Rattus norvegicus: one gene and its partners. The protein of the gene in region 1 purifies or fractionates together with the protein of each later gene. This does not show direct contact. Links are inferred from orthologs where the notes say so. Each region holds a gene or a part of one and is shown on either strand. Other genes may lie near its edges.

The links.
Region 2: the proteins of Ezh1 (region 1) and Aebp2 purify together in Homo sapiens (affinity purification with mass spectrometry; 3 studies listed by BioGRID and IntAct, with this or other methods). This does not show direct contact. The link is inferred for Rattus norvegicus from reciprocal best matches to the Homo sapiens genes EZH1 and AEBP2.
Region 3: the proteins of Ezh1 (region 1) and Mtf2 purify together in Homo sapiens (affinity purification with mass spectrometry; 3 studies listed by BioGRID and IntAct, with this or other methods). This does not show direct contact. The link is inferred for Rattus norvegicus from reciprocal best matches to the Homo sapiens genes EZH1 and MTF2.
Region 4: the proteins of Ezh1 (region 1) and Phf1 purify together in Homo sapiens (affinity purification with mass spectrometry; 5 studies listed by BioGRID and IntAct, with this or other methods). This does not show direct contact. The link is inferred for Rattus norvegicus from reciprocal best matches to the Homo sapiens genes EZH1 and PHF1.
Region 5: the proteins of Ezh1 (region 1) and Jarid2 purify together in Homo sapiens (affinity purification with mass spectrometry; 4 studies listed by BioGRID and IntAct, with this or other methods). This does not show direct contact. The link is inferred for Rattus norvegicus from reciprocal best matches to the Homo sapiens genes EZH1 and JARID2.
Region 6: the proteins of Ezh1 (region 1) and Phf19 purify together in Homo sapiens (affinity purification with mass spectrometry; 4 studies listed by BioGRID and IntAct, counting the BioPlex papers as one, with this or other methods). This does not show direct contact. The link is inferred for Rattus norvegicus from reciprocal best matches to the Homo sapiens genes EZH1 and PHF19.

The regions. Positions count from the first base shown.
Region 1 is NC_086028.1:86,659,458-86,663,659, reverse strand, and holds the start of Ezh1 (histone-lysine N-methyltransferase EZH1), read left to right. Parts: upstream 1-1,402; 5' UTR 1,403-1,482; intron 1,483-1,547; exon of another isoform or gene 1,548-1,599; intron 1,600-4,202.
Region 2 is NC_086022.1:175,287,044-175,290,543, forward strand, and holds part of Aebp2 (zinc finger protein AEBP2), read left to right. Parts: intron 1-929; coding exon 930-997; intron 998-2,049; coding exon 2,050-2,163; intron 2,164-3,500. UniProt on the Homo sapiens protein: Acts as an accessory subunit for the core Polycomb repressive complex 2 (PRC2), which mediates histone H3K27 (H3K27me3) trimethylation on chromatin leading to transcriptional repression of the affected target gene.
Region 3 is NC_086032.1:1,825,615-1,829,634, reverse strand, and holds the start of Mtf2 (metal-response element-binding transcription factor 2), read left to right. Parts: upstream 1-1,220; 5' UTR 1,221-1,453; coding exon 1,454-1,458; intron 1,459-4,020. UniProt on the Homo sapiens protein: Polycomb group (PcG) protein that specifically binds histone H3 trimethylated at 'Lys-36' (H3K36me3) and recruits the PRC2 complex, thus enhancing PRC2 H3K27me3 methylation activity.
Region 4 is NC_086038.1:5,018,721-5,022,774, forward strand, and holds the start of Phf1 (PHD finger protein 1), read left to right. Parts: upstream 1-1,254; 5' UTR 1,255-1,456; intron 1,457-2,117; coding exon of another isoform or gene 2,118-2,138; coding exon 2,139-2,297; intron 2,298-2,379; coding exon 2,380-2,461; intron 2,462-2,557; coding exon 2,558-2,653; intron 2,654-3,005; coding exon 3,006-3,106; intron 3,107-3,197; coding exon 3,198-3,346; intron 3,347-3,487; coding exon 3,488-3,583; intron 3,584-3,711; coding exon 3,712-3,780; intron 3,781-3,867; coding exon 3,868-3,991; intron 3,992-4,054. Other genes in the region: kinesin-like protein KIFC1, read left to right, coding at 46-90. UniProt on the Homo sapiens protein: Polycomb group (PcG) that specifically binds histone H3 trimethylated at 'Lys-36' (H3K36me3) and recruits the PRC2 complex. Involved in DNA damage response and is recruited at double-strand breaks (DSBs).
Region 5 is NC_086035.1:20,159,171-20,163,205, reverse strand, and holds the start of Jarid2 (jumonji and AT-rich interaction domain containing 2), read left to right. Parts: upstream 1-1,235; 5' UTR 1,236-1,760; coding exon 1,761-1,805; intron 1,806-3,335; exon of another isoform or gene 3,336-3,354; intron 3,355-3,570; exon of another isoform or gene 3,571-3,623; coding exon of another isoform or gene 3,624-3,737; intron 3,738-3,755; exon of another isoform or gene 3,756-4,035. Other genes in the region: uncharacterized protein Jarid2l1, read right to left, coding at 1-530, 787-908.
Region 6 is NC_086021.1:38,591,055-38,595,354, reverse strand, and holds the start of Phf19 (PHD finger protein 19), read left to right. Parts: upstream 1-1,500; 5' UTR 1,501-1,545; intron 1,546-3,746; exon of another isoform or gene 3,747-3,749; 5' UTR 3,750-3,755; coding exon 3,756-3,935; intron 3,936-4,300.

The DNA of each region.
Region 1 (4,202 bases):
TACTGAGCCTGGCCTGATGACCTGAGTCCCAGCCCTAGCACTCACATGAAGGAAGACTAGGAACAACTTCTGACAGCTGTTACAAAAGAACACCATAGCAAGTATTAATGTACACACACACACACACACACACACACACACACACACACACACGCAAATAAATAAATAATAAGATATTTTTTAAAAAAGAACTTGCTAATTTCTGGTGATTGATATTTCCTACCTCTAAAGTTACTATTTCCTTCTTGCACTATTAAGTATTTTGTGGAGAGGTTAAAAAGAAATTATCAAGGCTGGAGGCGGTGGTGTATGCCTTTAATCCTAGCTTTTAAAATATATGTAGTGGGGCTGGAGAGATAGCTCAGTGGTTAAGAGCACTGACTGCTCTTCCAGAGGTCCTGAGTTCAATTTCCAGCAACCACATGGTGGCTCACCACCATCTGTAATGGGATGCTCTCTTCTGAAGTGTCTGAAGAGAACTACAGTGTACTAACATATAAATAAAATAAATAAATCTTTAAATTTCTTTCTTTTTTTTTTTTTTCCAGAGCTGGGGACCGAACCCAGGGCCTTGTGCTTGTTAGGCAAGAGCTCTACCACTGAGCTAAATCCCCAACCCCATAAATAAATCTTTAAAAAATATATGTAATGGTATGTCCATGCACTTGTGTGCCCGGTAACTGGAGGCCAGAAGGAGTCGAATCCCCTGAGACTTGAATTACAGATGGTTGTGAGGCTGAGTGCTGTGGGTACTGAGAATTGAACCGGAGTCATCTAGAAAAGCTATGTTGTTTTTTTTTAAATATGTTTACTTATATGTTTATTTATGAGTACACTGTCACTGTCTTCAGACACACCAGAAGAGGGCATCAAATCGCATTACAGATGGATGTGAGGCACCATGTGGTTGCTGGGAATTGAACTCAGGTCCTCTGGAAGAGTAGCCAGTGCTCTTAACCGCTGAGCCACCTCTTCAGCCCCGAAAAGCTATGTTCTTAACCTCTGATCCAGCTCTTCCTGCTCTGTGGGGAGATATTTTGATATAAGGTTTTATATTTTTAGGTAAAGGATAGACAGAAATAGGAATATCAAGTATGAATAAAACAATAACTTAAGAGCCCAGAGGTATTTGGGGTGTCGGTAAATACGAGGTATCAGAGTGAAGAAATTCTAGGCTGTCTTCCAAAACTTGACATGTAAGTTGTCTAAACACGGTTGGCGATGGTGCGCTGCTGAATAAAGTCTTCTAGAGATCCGTGGCTCCGGGATGTATTTTCTCTGGCAGCGCCACCTGGGAAAGTGTCAGACTACCGCAGTATCACCTTAGCGAAAACACATACCTGCGAAGAAGACAGCCCAGGTGCTCCACCTTCAAAGTGCGCACGCGCACGGAGTGGAGGCGCGGGGCGTGGCCGCGGCGCAGGGGCGTGGCCGTAGCGCGCAGGCGTCCTAGTGGCGAGTGTCTGCGTCTCAGGATGGAGGGTGAGTGAGTAAACAAGCCGGGGCTGGGCGGTGGGGCCGGGCCTCGGCATGGCGTGACATCGGAAACTCAGGGCTCGAGAGGCGAAGAGATGAGGAAACTGATGAGGGGAAGCTGAGGTCCATACCATTGCCTCACCTGGGGTAGCGCGAAGGGTGCGGTCCTGAATGTTGAGGGACCCGGGGCGAGAGCGCGTGCGAGCTGCGGGGGGCCGCGTGGCGGAGGGGGCGCGGCGGGGGCGGGCCCGGCTCGTGTCCCGTGCAAGCGTGGGTGGTCCTTGGCGTCTGCAAGGGACCCTGCCACTCGCAAGCAGGCGGGCCAGAGGCCCGGATCGAGCTTGCAGAGGCTTTAGGTGATGTTGAGGAAGGGGTGGCCAGGCCGATATGAAGGCGAAATGAGCGAGGTTCTCAAGGCGCCCAAGTGTAAGGGTCGAGCTTCCAAGGGTCGCGCGTCACCTCCCCAACATTTTGCTCCCGGAGCTTGCCGCTGATCTAACTCGCCTCACTTTAGTTCCGGGTTTGAGTAAAGATTTGCCTTCAAACTGTGACTGTCTCTCCGGTCCCCAGAATTCTCTGGAGAAACAAACGATATACAAATGAACGTGTCCTGAAGTAAAAGGGGAGGTACTATATGTGGGATGTAACTTGTCAGGAAGTAAATGTGAGGAAAAAATTTAAAAGGATTTTTAAGATTTAGGGTTTTTTTTTTTTTTTAATTTTTACTTTAAATGTGTGTGCACTCTGTGTGTGGATGGTACCAGGGGCATCAAATCCTCTGGAACTAGAGTTAAGGATGGTTATGTACCACACCATGTGGGTGCAGGGAACTGAACCCGTCCTTGTTCTTTGCAGGAGCAACAAGTGTTCTTAACCGCAGAGTGGCTTTCCAGCCCTTGGGGACTAACTTATTTTGGTCAAAGTGACCACTGAGATGATGTAGGTGGTGGGGCACAAGGAAGAGAATGGATGTAGATAGAGGTCAGTGTTGGGGAAAAACAAGCCAAGGAACACAAATAATTGGATATGTACAGGAATGACATTGAAAATGTGAGGATTTGGGGGTACATTTGCTACATGATCTCTCAGAATAAGAAATCTCCCACCCAGTAAATTTTTTTGTTTTTGGTCTCCGCATAGCCCTGGCTGTCTTGGAACTGTCCTTGTAGACTAGGCAGACCTTACACTAACCTGATCCTCAGGCCTCTGCCTCAGGAATGTTGAGGTTGGAAGGTGTGGCCCACCCTCCGCCCAAAGATTTTAAGATAAGGAAAGGACCTGGGCTGTTTTTTTTCCGGCCTGAGAAGGTATGACCTCTGCTAGTCTTTTGATTTTTGAGAAAGGTGGTTTTAGCCTTGGAACCCTAGTTGTGGCACTGAAAGGGAGGTGACCAGTCCACATAGGAGTGAATATATGTTAGGAGAGAAGAACTTAATCATGAGATCGGGTTGTGATGTGCAGGCTTTGAATCCCAGAACTTGGTTAATGGAATTGGGAGACTCGAGTTCAAGGTCAGCCTGGCCTAAACTAAATCCAGTGCCAAAACAACCACAAAAGTATGTAAACACGGAAGAACCACCTGTAAAAATGCAACATCTAATGGGATGTGGTATGCACACCCTTCTAAAGCCTTATGTGGTATGTTCTGACTCATTTAGTCTACATTTTTTTTAAAGATTGATTTATTATATATGTGTACACTGTTGCTGTCTTTGGACACACCAGATGAGGGCATTGGATCCCATTACAGATGGTTGTGAGCCACCATGTGGTTGCTGGGAATTAAACTCAGGACCTCTGGAAGAGCAGTCAGTGCTCTTAACCGCTGAGCCATCTCTCCAGCCTGACTCATTTATTCTAATACTTGTATATCTAACTGAAAAATCTTGTTTTTATTGAATGACAATGGATAGACCCCCCCCAAAAAAAACTTTATACCTATGTAGCTCATAACCAGCTAAGGCAGGGCCTTGCCTGGAGCAGACTGCTGTAGCTCTTCTCCATCAACATTGTATATCTCCAAGGCAGCATTTTCCTCTGTTCCTGGAAATAAAAATAAAAGTCTCCCCAAGAAAACCAAACCTGCTTTGATTTTTGTCACTCTTATCTGCAGGGGAAATGACCTGGTTCTATTAACTGGGAGCAGCTCCAGCTTGTGACTACTCTCTTAACTTGTGTTCTTGCCTCATGGTTGATTTTAATTCAAATATTGGTGAAATTGAGAAAAGTGACTCTCTCTCTCTCACACACACACACACACACACAGACACATAATAATTATATATGTTTTAAAGATTTTATTTATTTTAGGGGCTGGAGAGATGGCTCAGTGGTTAAAAGCACTGACTGCTCTTCCAGAGGTCCTGAGTTCAATTCCCAGCAACCACATAGTGGCTCACAACCATCTGCAATGGGATCGAATGCCCTCTTCTGGTGTGTCTGAAGACAGCAACAGTATATCATATAAATAAAATAAATCTTTAAAAAAAAAAAAAGCACTGTCTGCTTTCCAGTGGGCTGGGGAGATGGCTCAGCTGTTAAAGAGTGTCTGTTACTTTTGTAGAGGATCCTGATTTGACTGTCAGGACCCACATGGCCCATAACTCCAGTTCTAGGGGATCAGACTGACACTAGCTTCTGAACTCCGAGGGCACTGCTACTTTCATGGCACACATACACACATGTAGACCAAACACTGACATGAGATAAAATCTGAAAGTGAATTT
Region 2 (3,500 bases), on another chromosome or scaffold:
TGGTATGTTTTGGGAATAGTAATATAATATTGAGACATTTCTAACTTGGACTTGGTATCAGTAGTATTGAGATGGTAACGACACAGACGGAGCCCCAGTGTCAGTCAGTGTGGACTCTAGGGATCACCTTGGCTTTCAGACTGCTGACACCCTGGCCAGATAGGATAGGTGGGCCACTCTGTAAGACCTAAGATGAATTGACCCACCGAGTACAGCAGTGGAAGCCCAGGCAGACAGTGATCTCAGTAGATATTTCTCTTTGCAGCAGCTTTAGGTCTCCTGTAGTCCAGGTTACTTTGGAATTGGCCATGTAGCCAAGGATAGCCTTGAATTCCTAGACCCTCTGACCTAGGAAGTTATAGTTATGTGCCACTAAAAACCTGTTTCTGGTTTCATTGTTGTTGTTTGTTCTCTGTTCTCCTATATATCCATCTGTTTAGAGATGAGAAGTCATTTGGGAGTCGGTTCTCCTTCTCCCATGGAGATCATGGGCCACAATCAGCCCTTGAACAAAGTGCTTATAACTGCTGAGCCACCGGCAGCCATTAGTTGACTTAGTGGTCTTACATTTTTTAAATGGTTTGTTTTTTTAATTCTTGAGAGAGAGAGAGAGAGAGAGAGAGAGAGAGAGAGAGAGAGAGAGAGAGAGAATGTGTGTGTGTGTGTGTGAGTGAGTGTGTGAGTGTGTATGTGTGTGTGTGTGTGAGTGAGTGTGAGTGTGTATGTGTGTGTGTGTGTGTGTGTGTGAGTGTGTGTGTGTGAGTACACCTTGGCAATTTCAGTGTTGTGGGAAGAAGTTGATGTGTGGGAAGAAGAAAGGGTGAGATGTGGTGGCAGTGCCTTTGCTGGTAGGCATGGCTGTCAGTGTTTTAAGAGTATAGAGAGATGGTGGTTTATAGTTTACTTTTTACTTTTTGTGACGTTACTAGGTAATAGCTAAGAGAAAGGAGGAATCTGGGAAGATAAAGCTTTTGCTTCATTGGATGCCCGAAGACATGTAAGTATTTGAAACTGCATAAAGAAATAAACATGTTTTATTTTTATTAAAATCATGAGTTTAAAAATGATTTAGCCTACTGAAATCTTAATAAGAAATTTACTTGTACTGTGCTTTGAGGCTGTCAAGTTGGCAACGCTTAGAGGTTGTATAAGGAAGCTTCTGAGGAGGACCACCAGTCCCTGTGACGTCAGAGGGCAGCTTGGTGAATGTTCCTTCAGGAGGCAGCGGCTGGAGCTTCTGCACCTCGGCGTCTCCCTAGCCACAGTAGCTTCCCCAGTCTGTGAAGCCAGCACAGTTTTTATGCAATTGGTCTTCAGTCAGAGAGCCGCCTCCCACATGGAACCTTTTTGTTTTTTAGACAAGGTCTCTCTATGGAGCCCACTTTCTGAAAACTCATGGTCGTCTTTATTGAAGCTGATTTTTGAGAAGCCATGTTTGATTTGCAGCACCCACCAGATGGCACATCGTACTGTCCACAAGTACCTACATTGGGCCTTCAGGGCAACAGGCAGGCATATTTGTGGCACACAGACGTGCATTCAGGCATACACTCATGCATATTAAATAAAGTTTTTTTAAAATGTCAAATTTAATGTTATAACCCTACTGTTACAGAAATTGAACAATTCAGATATCAAAGTACTTTGCTTTGTAGGATTAAATACTTTTAAATTCAGATTTGGTCACACACATGCAGTTTCTCCTTTTCTTCCTTGTTACCCTTTCCCCCCTTCAGGCTCCTGAGAGTCCTCTCCTCGGCGTTGATGGAGTACTCCTTTGTTAGTGAAGAAACAAAGTTAGATTTTCTTTAATTTATTTGAAAGCCAGCCTTATACATTCCTAGTGCATCCTATAGACCCCAAATGCTACTCGTGGAGTGTGTGTCTGACACACGGGCCTTGGCAGAAGTAAACACAGGTGTCTGTCAGCACAGGAGCAGTATATCAACGATAACAATAAATTAATTAATGTAGGTGTCTCTGTCAGCACAGGAGCAGTATGTCAAAGATAACTATAAATTAATTATTGGCTTTTTTTTAAATTTATAGTCTGCCAGATGTATGGGTGAATGAAAGTGAGCGACATCAGTTAAGAACTAAAGTAGTTCATTTATCAAAACTACCCAAAGACACTGCCTTGCTGCTGGACCCAAACATCTACAGGTAACCTCCGTCCTGACAACACACTTTCCCTTCTAAATTATCATCTTGACCTTTGTAGGTTTTGGGGACATTGGAGCTTTTCAGTAGAGATAGAACATCATGTCCATCTGCAGTGTTGGAGATCTGTCTTGCTTTTGTGTAGACATGAGTAACTGAACATCCCTTGTGAGCGTTCAGAATCCCTGCACCAGGCTTTGTAAAGCATGCAGATTTCTGGACTCGGGACAAGCAGCATTTCTGTCCTGTAGATCTGTAGTTTTCTTGGGTGGTGCAGGGGTTGTGGGGCTGCCCATGTGGTGTGCCATCAGCGCTGCCTCCCTGCTGTGTCTCAGACTTCTGTGGGCCTGAAAGAGAGCGAGTGTCCTGTAGGCCGTGTGCTTCACTCACTCTGTCCTCAGACTTTTCCGAGGAGCAGTGAGCAGCACTGTGTGTGTTTAGTGCTTCTCAGTCGCATTCCTAAGCTTGTCTGATGAGAGGTTTCCGCAGGTGACACACAACATAGCACCCCTGGGCGGGCCTAACACTATGTGTCCTAGCAGCTGTCACAGCGAGTTCACTCCCTCTGCCCACGTCCCAGAGTATGAGCTAAGCACCATGCTGCTGTGTCCAAATAGCAGACTAAAAACCAGCGACTAAAACCAGTGACTAAAAACCAGCGCCCAGCCTTGTATTCTCAGGGGCAGTGCATTTTAATGTCTTGTGAGAATGGTTACCCAGCAGTAAGACGAGGCTGATAAATCCCCAGATTGGCCATCATAAAGTTAGCTGATCTAGAGTTGAGGGGGGGTAAGTAGCAAACTTGGGGTGCTCATGCCAGTTAGGAGTCCTTCCAACTAATCTGTATCCCTGTCTAACTAAGACTCCCATTTGTAGGAATCGAACTCTTTGAAAGGTCCTGTTCCTTCTGTGACTCAGGTGTTGGAAATGCCATTCAGTGTATCAGGATTCTTGTTTGAGACATGTTCTGAGAACAGAGTTCCAACATCGCGGGTCTTGCTTGCTGTGAGGGAACATTGAGACTCTTGGGATTCCCTACTCTCCCCTCTTTAGTATAAACTATCCTCTGTGGACAGTGCCACAGGCAATGAGACTTACTCTCTGAGATGGGATAAGATTGAGACGATCACACCAAGAATATAGGAAAGTCATACTTAGAAAGATGAGTGGCATTCATTTGCTGGTGCCTAACTTAGATTTGATCCCACTTACTCTAGGGAGGTAATTGAAGTAGGACAGCGGTGTTGTGCTCCTCATTTGCCTTAAAACTGGTTAGGGCACAGCACCTTCAGAGTCCACAATGGATGAGCATCCAAGCCTCTTCTCTCCATCCTTCCCCT
Region 3 (4,020 bases), on another chromosome or scaffold:
GCTCAGGGTCAGCTTTAGTTACATAAGACCCTGAGAGAGAGAGAGAGAGAGAGAGAGAGAGAGAGAGAGAGAGAGCACACAGAGGCAGAGACAGAGAGACACAGAGAGATTAAAATGTACTGAATAAAATATCGAATAATACATAGCTAGGATTGGTGGCTCAGGACTTTTAATCCCAGTACTGAGGAGGCAGGGGTAGGAAGATCTCTGTGAGTTTGAGGCCAGCCTGGTCTACACAATGAGGACAGCCAGAGCTACAGAATAGGTAGATCTTGTCTTTGAAAAAGAAAACAACTGTACAGTGTAATATGAATGCGTTTATTTGCCAGAGTTTTCAGAGGATAGATCTTTCTCTTGAAATACGAGTGGAAAGAATTTAGATCATAAGAAGTACTTCTTCAGAGGGAAAATACAGTACTCTCTCTGTGACATAATCTGTGATAAAAAAAATATCAATCTGAAATATTTTCCAAAATATGAAGGTATTACAGGTGTTTCTACAGATGCTGGGTTGCATTTAAATGTAAGTCAAAGAGATAAGCATGCATTCCATTTATCAGCTGGGCCTCATACAAGAGCCTGCAATAGTATGAGAGTTACTTCGATCAACTGCTTCGCAGGAGAGTATGCTCAGATTTTACTGCAATTAGGAAAGGTCACGAAGCAGGTAAACAGAAAAAAAAAATCCTGTTCATTGTCAGAGGGGGGGAAAAGTGTGAAAATCTCTCGTACAGATTCCAGATAAGTTTTGATTTGGAGAGTAATCATTGAACAAAATTTGCCATCCAGGGTCTCCTCCCCACTGACAGGAATTCTAATAGCAGGCCTCGAGGTGGAGGTAAAAGAAAAGTAATTTTTTAGTTAATAATTTCCTTTCTACACATAAGTAAATCACCCCAGGAAGATGTACTGAGCAATTATCCCATTTCTGAGGGCATTAAAAAAGACCTGCACGATAGGTTGGACACGAAAAACAGTCCAGCGAGCCTCTGCGTCTGGAAGGGCAGCGCTCACTATTGTGTATGCACCGGCAGCAGAAGGACTTAGTCCCACCGCGACATTAAAGAGTCCCTCTTTGTTCAGCGCTGGTCCGGGACGTAGGGCACGGTGTTCCTCCGCGCTCGCCGCGCAGGCCCCGCCCCTCTGCGGCTCTGGAGAGCTGCCATTCGGCCCCGGAGTAGCTCCGCGCTCCCAGAATGCACCGGTAGTCCGCGGGAAACCAAAATGGCGAAGGGCTGTAGCGAAGTGGTCTGTGTTTGAGGCCGGTGTGAGAACGCATATTCTCCTCCCCAATCCTCGTCCCCAAGGAATTCAGTGCGTGTGTGTGCGTGAGCGCAGGGTTCCCGCTGGGGCGGGTGCCCAGTGAGTGCCCGGACTCGCGGGGAAGCGCCCACGGGAACGTGATTGCTTCTATTTTCCTGTATGAAGCGGTTGGCACCACTTAAGTGACCGAATGAGGTGAGAGACCTTGGCCTGGGAACCGACTCTTTGGGAGGAGGTTGGGATGCAGAGAGACGAAAGAAAGGAAGCAAAAGAAAGGGAGAAAGATGGAGGATCCGCAAGGGAGTCCAGTGTGGGGGTGTTTTTGCGTTGATGCATATGTTGAAAGAATGGATCGAGCGTAGACAGTGAAATGTTGGTAAAAATAGGGGCTGGAGGAACGAGCGGGGCGTTCGGGGAGTCAGTTGGTGGAATTAGATAAAACGTTGAGACAGGGAAGCTGTGTTTGGAGGGCAGGAAGGAACCTGGGGGCGGGAGACGGTTGGAGGGGCAGGATGAACCTGGTGATGAGGGGGTGGGGAACCTAGGGGAGGAGCCGTCAGAATGTGGGGAGCCTAGTAGAGGGGCTGCCTGGCACTTTAAGGGGTGGTAAGGGAAGTAGCAGTTTGGAACCAGAGGGTGCTGGAATTGTGTGGAATTGTGTAGAATTGTGGGAGGGGAATCTAGTGGATGGGCTGGATAGAGTGGGAGGATGAGGAAAATACTCCGGAAAACAAGCCCTGGAAGCTTAAAGGGAAGAAGTGATATGGGGAAGAGATAGCTTTTACTTACAGGCATTCCTCCTGTTCTCCTGTTCAATTAAAATTTCTTGCTCTGATATTTGTATTCATCATTACAACCTAGTTACTTACGACTTTAAGGGATTTAACTAAAATTTCCACGATTTCTTAACACATTTCTATAGTGCCAGAACTCTTAACTGTGGTTTACAGTCTGCTGTCCCTGGTTGTTAGAATTTTTCTTTGGCAGAGATGGGTTTATTAAGTGATAGGAGGGACTGTGAACAATAGGAAAGGGGGTATGGAATGCTGTTTTAGTCTTTAAATAAAACATTTAATTTGGTTGAAGATATTACCATGTAACAGTAATTAGAATTTGAAAACCCAGACAAGCCTGTAATTGACATAGAAAAGTCCCTCTTGAGATCAACGTAGAACTAGAAATATGTAGGTAGTGGTTGATTTGACTCCATTTTCTTTAGCAGTAAGTAACTTTCTCCTTCAAATAGATTCCATGTAATCTTCATATTACAACTTTTCTGCAGTTGTCTGCAGACTGTTTTCAGCCTCTATGTTTTAATTTTCTTTTTGGGGAGGGAGTAAACTTACGGGTGATTGTGGGTAAAGAAGTGATTCTTTTTAGAGTGCTGGACAATGCTTTACATGGAGCTAGCTAATGGGTTTTTTTGTTGTTGTTTTTGTTTTTTAAGTTTTTTTTTTTTTTTTTTTTTTTGGTTCTTTTTTTCGGAGCTGGGGACCAAACCCAGGGCCTTGCGCTTCCTAGGTAAGCGCTCTACCACTGAGCTAAATCCCCAGCCCCGTTTTTTAAGTTTTGAAAGCAAGGTCTCCTTAGGTAATCCTGGCTAGCCTGGACCTCACTTTGCATTCCAGACTGACCTTGAACAGATGAATCTGTCTGCATCTGCACAGTAAATGCAGATGGAGATTGGAAATGTGTACTACCATGCTCTGCTGATACTACTTACCTTGAGTTAACATCAGCAACTATCATTGGATGTACAGCTATACTTAAATGTGTAGTGTGGAGAATGTTTTTCCTTACTTGTTCAAAAAGTATATATTGGGGACTTCCTATGCTAAATGTAGTCTTATATTAGAAATCTCGTTGTCAAACAGTAGACATGTTCAGTGCTCATGCAGAGTACGCAGTTTGATTTTGAGCAATGATGAATGATAGAATGAACAAACACAGGCACATGTGCAAGCACCATTTAGCACCTTTGAGCTATAATTGATGACATTTGATGGTGAAATGATGAAAGTACAGAATAGATTCATTGTGGAGCTACTGAGATAGCGGAGTTCAAAACTATCAAGTGTCAGAAGAACAAGAACAACTGAGATTAGAGAAGACAAGAGAAACATTTTGTCAAATGAATACACCCTGAAATTTGGGGAAAAATGTATAAGACATTAAAAACATTTTTTAATGCATATGTGCAGGGGGTAGGGGTGGGGTATGTGCTAGTGTCCATGGAGGCCAGAGGCATGAGATCCCCTCAGACTAGATCAGAGGTGATTGTGAGCTGCCCAGTATAGGTGCTGGAAACCACACTCAGTTCTTCTCCAAGAACAATGTGTTTTTAATGGCAGAGACATCTTTCTAGCCCCCATAAAGGATATTTTTCATCTGTTATAGTGGTTCTAAAATTTAACCTGCTGTAATGAATACATTTTTTTCTTTCTTTTTGTAAGACTTCCTTTTATGTGTGTGGATGGTTTGCCTGCATGTATATGTGTGTACCACATGAGGGCCGTGCCCACAGAGGCCAATCCCTTGTCCCTTTGGAACTGGAGTTAGAAATGGTTGCAAGTTGCCATTGTTAATGCTGTGAATCAAAGGCCCTGGGATTTGAACTCAGATCCTCTGGAAGAACAGCCAGTACTCTTAACTGCTGAGCCATCTCAACAGTCCGAAAAAACATTTCTTGACAGCAGATAGGGGCTGGAGGATCCAAAGTTCAAGGCTATTCTTGGCTATATAGAGTTCACAGCTAAC
Region 4 (4,054 bases), on another chromosome or scaffold:
GTAAGCAGTGATCTCGTGTAACCCTATTCACTGGTCCATCCACAGGTGAACCAGTGCGTGATCGGCACTGCTCAGGCTAATAAGAAATGAAGATGGATGCAGAGCCTGGCTCCTGTGCAAGCGGGTGTGCGTGTCTGTTTTGTGTATATGTATAACACGGGGGTGGGGCGGGGCTGAGACATGATTTTATTGGGTGGACAACATTATGTACCCAACTATCAAATAAAGAAAATTTGGTGTAGGTTAATTTTTTTCTTAATCTTAGATTTAAAAAATTGTGTGTGTACAGTTGTTTAGCCTGAGTATATACATGTGCACCATGTGCATGTCTCCTGCTCCTTGAAGTTCAGAAGAGGCTTCGGGGCCTCTGGAACTGGAATTATGGACAGTTTTGACCATCGATGTGGGGTCTGATCAGTAAGTGCTCTTAACCACTGAGCCATCTTTCCAGACCCTGTTACAGCTCTTAATGGTTTTATTAATATTGGTAGCTGCCAGATGAAGTATTGTGAGTAAATACCGTAAGATGTAGAAATGTCCATTTTGACCTGTTTTGCAGAGTGAGGGAGGCTATGGGCTTTCACTTGGAGGGACACACTAACTTTGCTGCCTGCCCTGGTGCCTCTCCTCTGTCCTTCAGCTCAGGGAGTTGTGCCCATAGTGCCCACACCGGGCCCTCTGTGACCAACTAAATCTCTCACTTCCCCTGCCCACCGGTTCGAACCATGGTTCGGTCCGTGCCGCCTAGTGCCCATTGGCTGGTGTGGGCGCGTCACCGCCCCAGTACTAGTTCCAAGTAGCCTCTGGTCCTTTCCCTCCTAGAGGAGCACGGCCATGCCAGTGCTCGCCGCGGGAGGAGTGGCTGTGTGCCCAGGTGCGGCGCGCGGGCGGGGCTACGCGTGCGCAGAAGGGCGGGGCAACAGAAAGCGTGAATGAGGAGGGCGGTTCCGCGTGCGGAGGCGGAGCTTGGAGTGGCCACGGGGGCGGGGCAACTAACGGATGTGGCATGGGGCGGGGCCCGGCCCTGACCTGCAGGCTAGCTGCCAAGAAGGTTATTTCCTGCTGCCCTCAGAGCAAGCCTCCTATCCGAAAAGGGGGCTACAGGGATTTCCTCGTCCTCCCCGACCGGCCGCGCCTCCAATAGCGCAGCGCCCTCCGGGCCTACTGGAGGTGAGGGAGGTGCTGCCTACCCGCCCCTCCGTCGTCTCCTCCCACTGGTGCTCCCCACCCTCCACTCTCCTCCCTCCTTCTGTCGACTCCTCCTGCCGCTGCTGCTGCTTTGGCTGCTGCGTCATACGCCCCAGAGCGGCCAGGACGGAGGGGCTGGGCCCGGGGACCCCCCTGGCCTCCACCTGCACGCCCCTCGGCGCTCACACTCAGTCTTCCCGCACCGGGGACTCACCCAGATCTCTTGGGTCTGCCCCTACCTGGCTTCCAGCTGCCCCAGCTGTCACCGGTAAGGAGAAGGCGGGAGGCCCGGAGGGGGGGGGGCAGGGAACCGGGGGTCGGTGCGCAGGAAGGGCTGGGGGAGCCTCCTGGTCCCAGTTTGGGATCTGTGCTGGGGCGACTCAAGTCCCTCCGTGGACTGGCAGTGTAGGGGAGTAGAGACTTGGACAGGGACACGCCCCCCTCCTGGGGCACTCAGGGAAGTTATCTAATCCCAGGTCAAGGAGCCCCAAATTTGAGGGTGACCTAACATAACCTGGCACCAGGATGGTGGCTCTAAATAAGACACACAAGCCTGGGGAGGCAGCTGTTTCTACTCCTTTAACGTCTTTAGAAAAGCTCCCAAAACATCTCCGGGCAACAGATTGCCCCAGTTAGGCTACCTCTACACAGCTGGGAAAGGTGAAACTAAGTGGTAACCTTGATTCTGCAAACATCTTTTCCACCGGAGGTCCGGAGGAGCTGGGATACTACGGAGCTAGGCAGGGGAGATGGAAAGGAGTGGAGTAGAGAAGCTGACCAGAACGACCTGCCTCCTCGGGGTTCTAAAGGATTACGAGACTGGGGTTGGAGATTCCTGGTCAGGGTCAGGGTTTCTTCATCCGTAACAGAAAACAACCCACACAGGGACACTTTCTCAGCGCTCATAAACTCTAACCATCCTGTTTCAGAATAGCCCACCCCAGGATGCAATGGCGCAGCTCCCCCGGCTGAGCCGTTTGGGTGCTCCCTCTCTTTGGGACCCAGCCTCCCCTGCTCCCACCTCAGGCCCCAGACCTCGGCTTTGGGAAGGTCAAGATGTGCTGGCAAGATGGACTGATGGGCTCCTGTACTTGGGCACCATCAAAAAGGTGAGGCCCACCTCTGATCCCCTGCCTTCCCAGGCCGGTCTGATTCCTGCCCCCACTTTACGGTCTTGGTCATCCACTCCAGGTGGACAGTGCGCGGGAGGTGTGTCTGGTCCAGTTTGAGGATGATTCCCAGTTTCTAGTTCTATGGAAGGACATCAGCCCAGGTGAGACCCTTCAAAGCACAGCTTCCCTCTGCAGCAGCTGGAGCCGATGGGGACGCTGGGTTGAAGTGGGCCTCCTGACACTTTGTTCTCTCACAGCCGCCCTTCCTGGTGAGGAGCTCCTCTGTTGTGTGTGTCGCTCTGAGACCGTGGTCCCTGGGAACCGGCTGGTCAGCTGTGAGAAGTGTCGCCATGGTGAGAGGGCGGGATGTTTAGGGGGTGCAGTTTGCCCTGGGTCTTCTGGGTTACCACTAGAAGGGTTACCCTCCCTCATAGCGTGAGTCACGCACGTCTCCTGCCTGGGCCAGTCCTCACCCTGTCACCTCATCTCAGTACAGGGAGAGGGAGCGTGGATGCAGGTGACAAGGCTGAGGGCCTACCGTAGCTCGCTCACATTTCTTAACCAAGCTTCCTTGGGCAAGGTCCTCAACTGCTAGAAGCCCGTTGACTCAACTTGAGTGTCAGGATGAGACCTGCCAGCGGGACCGGTCTTAAATGCCCTGGTCAGGACTTAAAGGCCACTCTGTGGCCTTCTCTCCTCATTCAGCCTATCACCAGGACTGTCACGTCCCCAGGGCCCCAGCCCCTGGAGAAGGAGAGGGCAGCTCCTGGGTCTGCCGCCAGTGTGTCTTTGCGATTGCCACAAAGGTAAAGGCACCTCTCTGCCTGCTTGTGTGGGAGCCTCCCGTGACCTCTCCTCCTTCCCTGCCCTCTGAGGCTTCCCTCTGTTCCTCTGCAGAGGGGAGGTGCCCTGAAGAAGGGTCCCTATGCCCGGGCCATGCTGGGCATGAAACTCTCCCTGCCGTACGGTCTGAAAGGGCTGGACTGGGACGCCGGACATCTGAGCAACAGGCAGCAGAGCTACTGTTACTGCGGGGGCCCGGGGGAGTAAGTGAAGGAAGAGCAGGGCCAGCCACGGCATGGGTGTTTTGTGGTGGTAGAGCCCAGGACAGAGGGGAGCGAAGAGGGTGAGGGGGGGCCCTGTGGTTTGAAGAAGGCTGAGGGCCATGGCGCTGTCTTCCCCTTGAGGTGGAACCTGAAAATGCTGCAATGCCGGAGCTGCCTCCAGTGGTTCCATGAGGCCTGCACCCAGTGTCTGAGCAAGCCCCTCCTTTACGGAGACAGGTGAGATCCAGGGAGACTGCACAGGAGCCTGGGGTGCTCTCTCTCCCGCGCTCCCGACTGACTAGTTAGCCCTCTGCAGCTCGTACTGGAGGGTTGAGTGAGGTCCCTCTGTCCTGACCCATATACAGATTCTATGAATTTGAATGCTGTGTGTGCCGGGGCGGCCCTGAGAAAGTACGGAGGTTACAGCTTCGCTGGTGAGAAGGATGGTGCTCTCCGCCATTTTACTCTATGACTCCTGACTCCATAATGCTGCTGCTGTTGACAATCTCATGCTCCTCCAGGGTGGATGTGGCCCATCTTGTTCTCTACCATCTCAGCGTTTGCTGTAAGAAGAAATATTTCGATTTTGACCGAGAGATCCTCCCCTTCACCTCTGAGAATTGGGACAGTCTGCTCCTGGGGGAGGTAAGGGTTCTAAAGTTTGAGAACTGGGGTTTTTGGAACAAGGAATGCGTGCTCCCTGGGACC
Region 5 (4,035 bases), on another chromosome or scaffold:
GCGACCACGAGGCCGCGTGCCTAGCCCAGAGGCTGCCCTCCCTTCCGCTCCGCGCGTGGGCTCGCGTGCGGCCGCCGGCCGGCGTTAAGCCGTGACCTCGGACCACCCCGGCCGGCCGCGCGGCGTTTGCTCGGCACACGGGCGCTGTCCTGAGGTGACACCGCCTGCAACGGCAGAAGCAGCAGACGCCGCCGATCAGCGAGTTCGCACCGAGGATTCCTCTTGGTGCGTGGCCCAGTTTTTTTTTTTTTTTTTTTTTGCTTAGGACCCGCTCCAAGCCCTCGCTGACACCGCCCCCCGCGCCGCCACGCTCCGAGGCCTTCCCCGGGGAAGCCTGGCGGCTTTCCCTCGCGGGCCCGCGGCGCGCTCTCGCGCGCGATTCCTCGATTCCACAGGCGGTTCGCGCCCGGGGTGGGGGCGGGGCGCGCGGGGCCGGGCCGGCGGCCCGCGGGGAGGGGACTGGGGGCGGGCCGGCGTGGGGAGTTCCTCGCTCCCGGACCACACGCTCCGCGGGCCAATCCCGAGCCACCCTCTAGCAGTGTCGCACGCGGGACACGTCCAAGCGTTTGTTGGCAGGGCTGGGGAAGGGGGAGGGGGAGACCTCAGGGAAGGGAGTTGAGTGACAGGAGGTGTGGGGCACGCTGGGAATTGTAGTTCTTAGCTTCCGTGGCCATAGCCATTTTGTAGTCAAGGGACTACAACTTCCAGAAGATCAAGGGGACTATTCTAAGGTGCCCCGGGAATAGGCGGCTCTCCCCCGGGCCGGGCGTCCTGGGGCAGTGGTACCCTGCTGCCCGGCTGCAGGTAGACGTGAGGGCAGTGGCGAAGGCTTGCATGCGGCGACTGTTGGGTGAGCGGACTGCCGGGGGGAAAGGGGCTGAGGTGGAGCGACCGAGCGTGCCATGCATTGAGCTAGGGAGCCTCTCTCAATTCCAGGACTGGGCTCGGCATGGGAGAGGCGCCTGACGGGCGGCCCGCAAAGGATTCGCTGAGGCCTCTCCGGGGTCTCGTCGACGGGGCTGCGGGAGTTCTCTGCACTGGGCCAGGGTTTGTGGGCAAAGGGTAGGCAGGCGTGCGGGGGCTCAGCTGTGGGAGTTTTCGGCTGGCGAGAGATGGCGAATTAGCCGAGGAGCCCTAACTTGTATAAAAGCAGAGTCCATTTAAAGTTGGGCTGGATAGCCTCTCTCTCATTGGTTAGGGGGCTTGGAAAAAAGAGACTCGGCGAGCCCTCCGCTGTGGTGCTGCCGCCGCCGCCGCCGCCGCTGGAGTTGACTCTTCTGCTCGCACTGCTGCTGCAGCACAAACGTGACTTCCAACGTTTTAAATTTATCTTTCCTTTTTCTTTTTCAAGATGTAACTACAGATCAGATGCTAAGGACCTTCACGTTTCGCTGATGTAGTTTTTGGAAGAAAAAGGGGGGGAGTGAAGGGCGTCGGTTTTTTTTTCTTTTTTTCTTTTTTTTTGTGTCTGTTGTATGTTTCGGGGGAAATTTTCCATTATGAGTGTTTTACTAAAGTGAATTTTTCTTGTTTGCTTCGTTCGTCTTTGGCTCTTTTTATTTTTTTTCTTTTATCCTTCTCAATTTCGGATTTATTTCAAGGCGAATCTGGCTTTGGGGGAAGAGGAAGAAAAGTCGGATTACAAGATCAACCACCACCACCAACAATAAAAACCACCAGGATATTTTTTTGCAAATTTCTGACGGCTTTAAATTCATGAAGCAATTGTCCCCTTTTGCAATCAGCATTTGGATCTCAGAATGAGCAAGGAAAGACCCAAGAGGAATATCATTCAGAAGAAATACGTAAGTGCTCCTAACAACACATCCTTTGGCTTGCAGTTTTAAGCGATGGCTGTGAATGTCAAGTTTATAGATAATTCTGCAGCTGAAAGGTTCTAAACGTAGCGTCCGATAAGGCTCTTTCTTTTTCCGAAAGGGCTTTTCAGGCAAAGTCGTGTCTGCCTAGTTTGGTTGAGAAAACAGACTGGTGTACAGATACCTCAAGTATATAAATTGACCTCGAATGACACAACGTTAATGTACTTTAGATGAAAGGCAAGGGGTTTTGGTGGAGGTTGGGGTTCTGTGTGTGTGTGTGTGGGGGGGGGGGGCTGCAGTGATCTAACTGCATTCTCGGGAGGATTTGGCCCCATATTGCACTTTGCATACAAATGAGCCGGTTATTAGTGTTATTTGGAAAATCGTGTAAGGTGTGTGTGTTGGAAGCTCTTTAAGTTGCAATTCAGAGTACGATTATGGCGATCTTGCACATTTAATATATGTGGCCGTTTTTGGCTTATCTAGTTTGCAACATAACCCAGTTGGGAATTATGTTACAGGGAATGCATTTATTGGTATTGACTTTTATAAAGAGGCTGGTTTTGATTCTAAAAAGAAATCATGGTTTCTAGTTTGAGGGGGAAAACATAGCTCATGTAAAAGTGTATGTGTTTGAGTGAGTGCAACTGTTAGTACGAATAATTTCGTCCTGTAAACTGGGTTTCTGAAATGGGTTGTAATGGTTACATTTGTTTTGTGCATAGTATAGCAGCGTTTTGCTTGGCATAGGGAGTGTTTTTGTTTTGTGTAGTGGCTTTTTTTTGGTAAGTTTGGGGGGAGGGAGTATAGAGGGGAATCGGGGGATTAACCAAATATGCACTCGAGTGATCCGGTGGTTAGCTACATATGCTTTAGAGCAAAGAACACATTTTCCTTTTTCCAGAAAAAAAGGGTCCTTGAAGGTACATAAAGAAAAATGCGACCTTATAAGAAAGTTTTATTTAACTAGGGTCGATAATTTGGTCTTAATGTTTTCCCTTTTTGGTTAGTGTGGAGTGTATAATGGGAGATGACCTTTGGGGCAGTGCTTTTGTAAAATATGTATATATATGTGTGTGTATTTAATGGAAAACCTGAATACCTCTTCCGGAGAGCTGATCCTAATCTATACACGTAAACTTAACTATGAAAGAAAGGCAAGATTAAATAATGAAGCTCAACTTACAAGCTATTCCATAAGGAATTTAAGAATTAAAATACATCCGCATTGCAGAGGGCTGGGTAAAGCGCAAAGGACTAGTTTAAACTCGATGTGTAGAAACTGCATGGACACACAGAGCTTTGCCTTGGAGCGTGGACTCCTGCCCAGACCATGTCTGTTTCTGACGTAGCCACAAAGGAGATGGGGTAGAACTTGGGACAAGAACCCCCCCCCCCCATCCCGGATCCCGATAAGTTGGAGAACACCATGGGTAGGCTTTTTTTGTTTTTTGCTGGAGGCCAGTAGATCCTGTCGAGTCTGGACATCCGGCCCCAAGCCGAGGTGGCCGGCGGTGGCCGTGCGAGGCAGAGCGTGAGTTGCTGCTGTGGGAACCCAGTCGGCCCAGGCGGTGTTCCGGACGCAGCCGGCCCAGAGGGTGCGCGGGGCCCGCAGCGCTCTGGGCCGTGGCCCGGGCTCGGGAAGCGGGCGCGCGGGCGGCCTGTAGGGGGCAGACTCTGGGTTGTGCTCTGGCCGGGCGGGTGGGTGGGGCTCGCGGGCGGCGCGGCGTGCTGACTCGGGGCGGGACAGGCTGGGTTAGTGAGGCTAGGGGGTAGTTGGGGGGGGCGGGGAGGAAGGGAAGGATGCCTCTGGCGCCCCCCGCAGAGCACAAGGCTGAGCTTGGCGGCTCTGGCATCTCTAAGCCGCCCTGCCCGCAGGCTCCGGCGCGGTCTCGAGAGCAACAGGTTAAGCAGGAGGTAAGTCAGCGCGCCCCCTCCCCGCCCCGCGGCCTTCTTTTGCCTTGAGCCTTTGCACCCCCCATCCGGGCCGTCACGTCCTCTCTCCGCCCCTTGCCCCCTGTGGCTTTAGTTCCTCGGTCCTCCCCTTTTGGAGCTGCCGCTCTGTTGTCATTGTGACGTCACAAAGGGACGGCCCGGTGGAACCTTCCCCTCCTCCGTGATGTCAAAAGTCGGGCGGGAGGTTCCAGGCGCGGCCTGAGTGGGAGCTCCAGGAGCTGCGGAGCGGGGCGTGGGAGGAGGAAAGGATGTGGCTGAC
Region 6 (4,300 bases), on another chromosome or scaffold:
GCGCCTCTAACCATCCCAACAGCTGGACAACAAGTGACGCAGAGTCTCACATCCAAGAATAGGTGGCGCCAGCCCATGAGCTACAGAGACAGGCTTGCTCTGTTGTCTCTGCCTCTGGAATCCTAAAGGTGCCTCTGGGCAGCCTCGGGCTCGTGACAGAGCTTCCTGGACAGAGGTGTTATCTCTGCAGAAGGCAATGTGTAGCTATGCCTTCCTAGGCTGGAAGATCCTGTCTGGTGGGGCTGCTACCAACTTCCTTTCCAGGCTCAGCCAAGGGAGACAGATGCTCAAATTAACCAGATTCTGCTGTGGGTCAAATCCCCAGGAAGACCAGAGAAGCAGGAAGACCCAGGGGAAAGGGGGGATGTGGACATGTGAAAGAGGATTCCTATATCTCAAGCTGGGGGGCGGGGGGAAGAAGGTGGAAGGCAGGCAGGCGCTGCAGGTCAGACTGCCCACCACGCAGGAAGCAGAGGACCAGTGTGGCCCCTGGAAAATGAACAGGGAAGGCTCTGGGAAGGAAAAGCAGTACACAACCACACCAAGAATGCAAGCATTCCAGCAGGGTGTGCCTGCAGGGGGCCTTGCTAGCAGGTGCAGTGGGCAGTCCAGACCGAAAGCAGAGATGCGGGTAGTGGGTGTTACCAGTGTTATCTCCAGCCCTGGCGCCAAGAGTGAGTCTGGTTGAGGACACTCTGTCTTTTCTCCTGGAGGGAGGGAGATCTTATCTGACTGGAGCCATATCCACAAGATCTGTCTTAGGTCTGCCCTTTACGTATTTGTCGTGTTTGTGCCCACGGTCTACGTGACTATTTCTCTTACACTGTTATCTCTACAGTGCGTGACTGGCATACTCGAGTGGGTCTTGTGGTCACTGTGTCGGAGCTCTATGCTGCTGACTTGTGTGTGCCGTGCACGCGGTTTCGCGGGAGTCTATGCTGAAGGCAGAGTCATTTTGAGTGTTGTGACTTATGGCACACATATGTGTGCGTGTCCTGTGTCCGATTCTCTTAGGCTTGCCCTGGTCTCCGGGGAGTGACGTGGAGTGTCCGTGCTGTAAGATCAAGGTGTTGGGAGACCTACCCGGGTCCTGAAAGGTCTGGGTGTAGTAGCTGTGCGCGTGTGGTGTGTGTACGCCTGCCCAGCCGTGGGTCTGTGCAGCTGTGTTTCCGCGTGTGCCCGCTCTGCTCGCTGCGCGGGGGCGGCCCCGGGAGGCGCTGCGGGGCCCCGCCGGCCGCGGGCTCCAATGGCAAAGCCGGTGCGGCCCCTGCTAATTACATAAGCGGGGACGTCAATAATTCGCGGGAAAACGCGAAAAAGATGGCGCCCCGCGCCCGGGGGGCCCCTTCCTGAGCGCACCGGCCCCTCCCTCCCTGCGTCCCCTCCTCCCCGCGGCGCCCCCGCCCCGCCCCGCCCCCGCCGAGACCCCTACCCCGGCCCCAGGGGCGGACACTCGGCCGGGCAGTCCTGGGCCGAGCGCACCACCGCCACCGATGTGCTTGGTGGCCAGACTCCAAGTGGGACCGGCTGACGCGCTGCCTCGCGGTAAGTCCCGCGCTGCGGGCGCCCCGGGAGTGTCCGCGTTTCACGCTTCAATCCTGCACACGATCCCTCTCCCAGAAACCTAGATTGAGCCCTACGATCCCCGGGCGGGGGCTGGAGTTCTGAGGAGCTGCGCGCTTGTAGGATGGGAACGGAGATGGAGCCCGAGCGGTACCCTCAGGGCAGCGGGAGTCCCAGCCACATCCCCAGCGCTGGGCAGGATGTGGGTGACAGGTCTCCGTTTGTGGCCGCGTGTCTTTTCTTTTCCATTTGAAGCTATGGAGGGGAGGATAGGCAGGGCATTTGGGATTTTGCTCACGTCCAAAGTCAGGCTACGATAGGCTGGGAGCGGGGAAAGTTTGCAGTTAGAGCAACTGAGGAAAGGAGTGCCTGTAGCTGAAGGGGACACTTTTTGCAAGCTATCCTCTCCCCTGAACACCCTTTTAAAAAGCCAACGGCCGCCCTGGAGAGGCCTCGGCGCATGAATCATCCGCGCTTCCTGCCCCCGCCCGGCCCCGCGCGCCCAGTGCCGCGGATTTGAACTGGACGCCGACGGGAACCCGCAAACAAGCACTTCTGTGCCGATGGGTTTGAATCAGCCAATCACAGCCCGCGGGGGCCCTCTCCAGGAGGATGGAGGCGAGATGGGGGGGCCACCACCCGGGGGCCCAGCACGGCCTCGGGGGCGCAGCGACCCGGCCTGCCCCCAAAATCTCAGTGGGGGAGGAAATGTCAGTTTGTGAACCTGCCGAGGCCGGCCACACTCCAGACCCAGCATGCGGGGATCTCCCAGCTCCCAAAGAGCCAAGTGCCAGGGAGATGGCAAAAAAGTTCTGACTACAGCCCTTACCTGGTGCTTGTTCCTCTGCCCTGGAGTAAAAGATAGGAAGGAGAAGGCAGAAGGAGGTTGATTCCCATCATTTGAAGACCCTAGATCCTGACTATGCCCCACCGCCCCAGGCCCCTCACATGCCCACGTGTATTTAGTTTTACGTATAGGACTGGCACACTGCCATAGACTATCCTACAGTCTCTGAAGAGGCACTCACATGAAAACACACCCGGAGCTGTCTTCTTGTGGGCTGGCAGGGCACCAGGTGCCCAACACCTTAGGCAGAGGGAGGAACCCTGAACAGGAGCGCCCCCCACCATCCCCTTACACTACAACATAAGGAAACTGTATTTGATCTTAGGAGAGTATGTGTGGAGGAATACGACCACGGAGGGGAGAAAGCAATAACTGACCACCAGCGAAGGTTTGGGAAGCCACAAACCTTCTGGAAGGTTCAGATAGAGAAGCTGGGTGCCCTGAGGCTCCCCGTTCCAGGTACCAGGCAGTAGCAAGCAACAGGCTCAGGAAAATAGGCTTGGAAAAGGTGAATGAAATAGCTGATGAGGAAAAATGAGACAAGAGTTGGAAGCAGGACATGATGGGAAATAGGGCAGGATGCTCCAACCACTCTAGGGTGGAGATTCGGAGTTTCTCAGGCCACTGTCCAAAAAGCCCGCTGTGGCAGTGCACTGGTTGGAGAAGTGACCACCACCACGGTGATACCTCTATCAGGAACAGAGAAGCAAAAGGCAGCACTTTAATGAGATGTAGAGAGCCAGATGTGTTAGACTGGTATGGCAATGGCTTAGCTGCTTTGAGCCAATGTGTATGTGGATAAAAGCATGGGCAGGTTTAAATGCCCCAAACTGGTTCCCATGAAGTTATCGGTTAATCGAGAACAGAAAGGGGAATTTCAAAAGGGGGGGGGGGCGCATGGCTATGTTATGCGGTTCCCATGCCACCTCAAGAATTTTCATTGCTAGGTGGGCTTTTCTCTGAAGATGTTTTAGGGGAAACATAACATTTTAAGTGCTTGCTTCCTTGGAACTGAGCACACATATGGGACAAAGCTTCAGCCTCCTGGACATGAGGTGGGGTTCAGATCCCTGGGTCCTTTGCGCCAGGTATGGCGGGAAGATACACTCTCTTAGCAGCATGGTATGGTATAGAGCCTCCTTGACTCCCTGTGAGCCATGGCTGCGCCTCTGGGTCACCAGCCACTTCTTCTTGTATCTCCTGTTTCCCTATCCGTAGAATGAGATAATAATGTCTCCCTCCCAGAGTTGTACTGTCAATAAACGTGTTTGAGAGCCTTACTGGATTTCAGGAGCAGGAAGCAAGATAAATATTGCTCTTTCTCCTCCGGTGTCAGCAGAAGCTGATGGAGACGCAAGCTCTGGAACCAGGGACTCAGGAAGCCTTTGGTGCCACCAGCCCTAACAAGGGGGCCCCGTCTAAGACCAAAAAGAACTTCAAAGACTTGATGTCTAAGGTGACAGAGGGACAGTTTGTGCTATGCCGGTGGACTGACGGGCTATACTACCTTGGCAAGATCAAGCGGGTAAGTCTGCTCTGGTCCTTGGGCCCAGGCTCCTGTGTTTTTCTGCTCATCTCCTTTTACCCCTCATGCCTAAAGCTGAAAGTGGAAGGGACCAGAGCTTGGCTTTGCAGGCTCCAAGTCCTCAGGCACAATGTGGCCCAGCAGGTTCTTCAAAGAACTTAAGCAAGCACCAGACTGGGCAGGGCATGGATGACTCTCTGACCTGCTCTTCGATCCTTAAAAGCATCCCCATTAAGTCGTCCCCTTGTTCCTAAAGGCCATACTCTGAGGTGGGAAACACAGCTCTCCTTCTGGCCTGTCTTCTGAAGCACAAGGCCAAGAGAGACAGAGGAAGACTGAGACCCAGCTCCCCCCTGCTGCTCCCT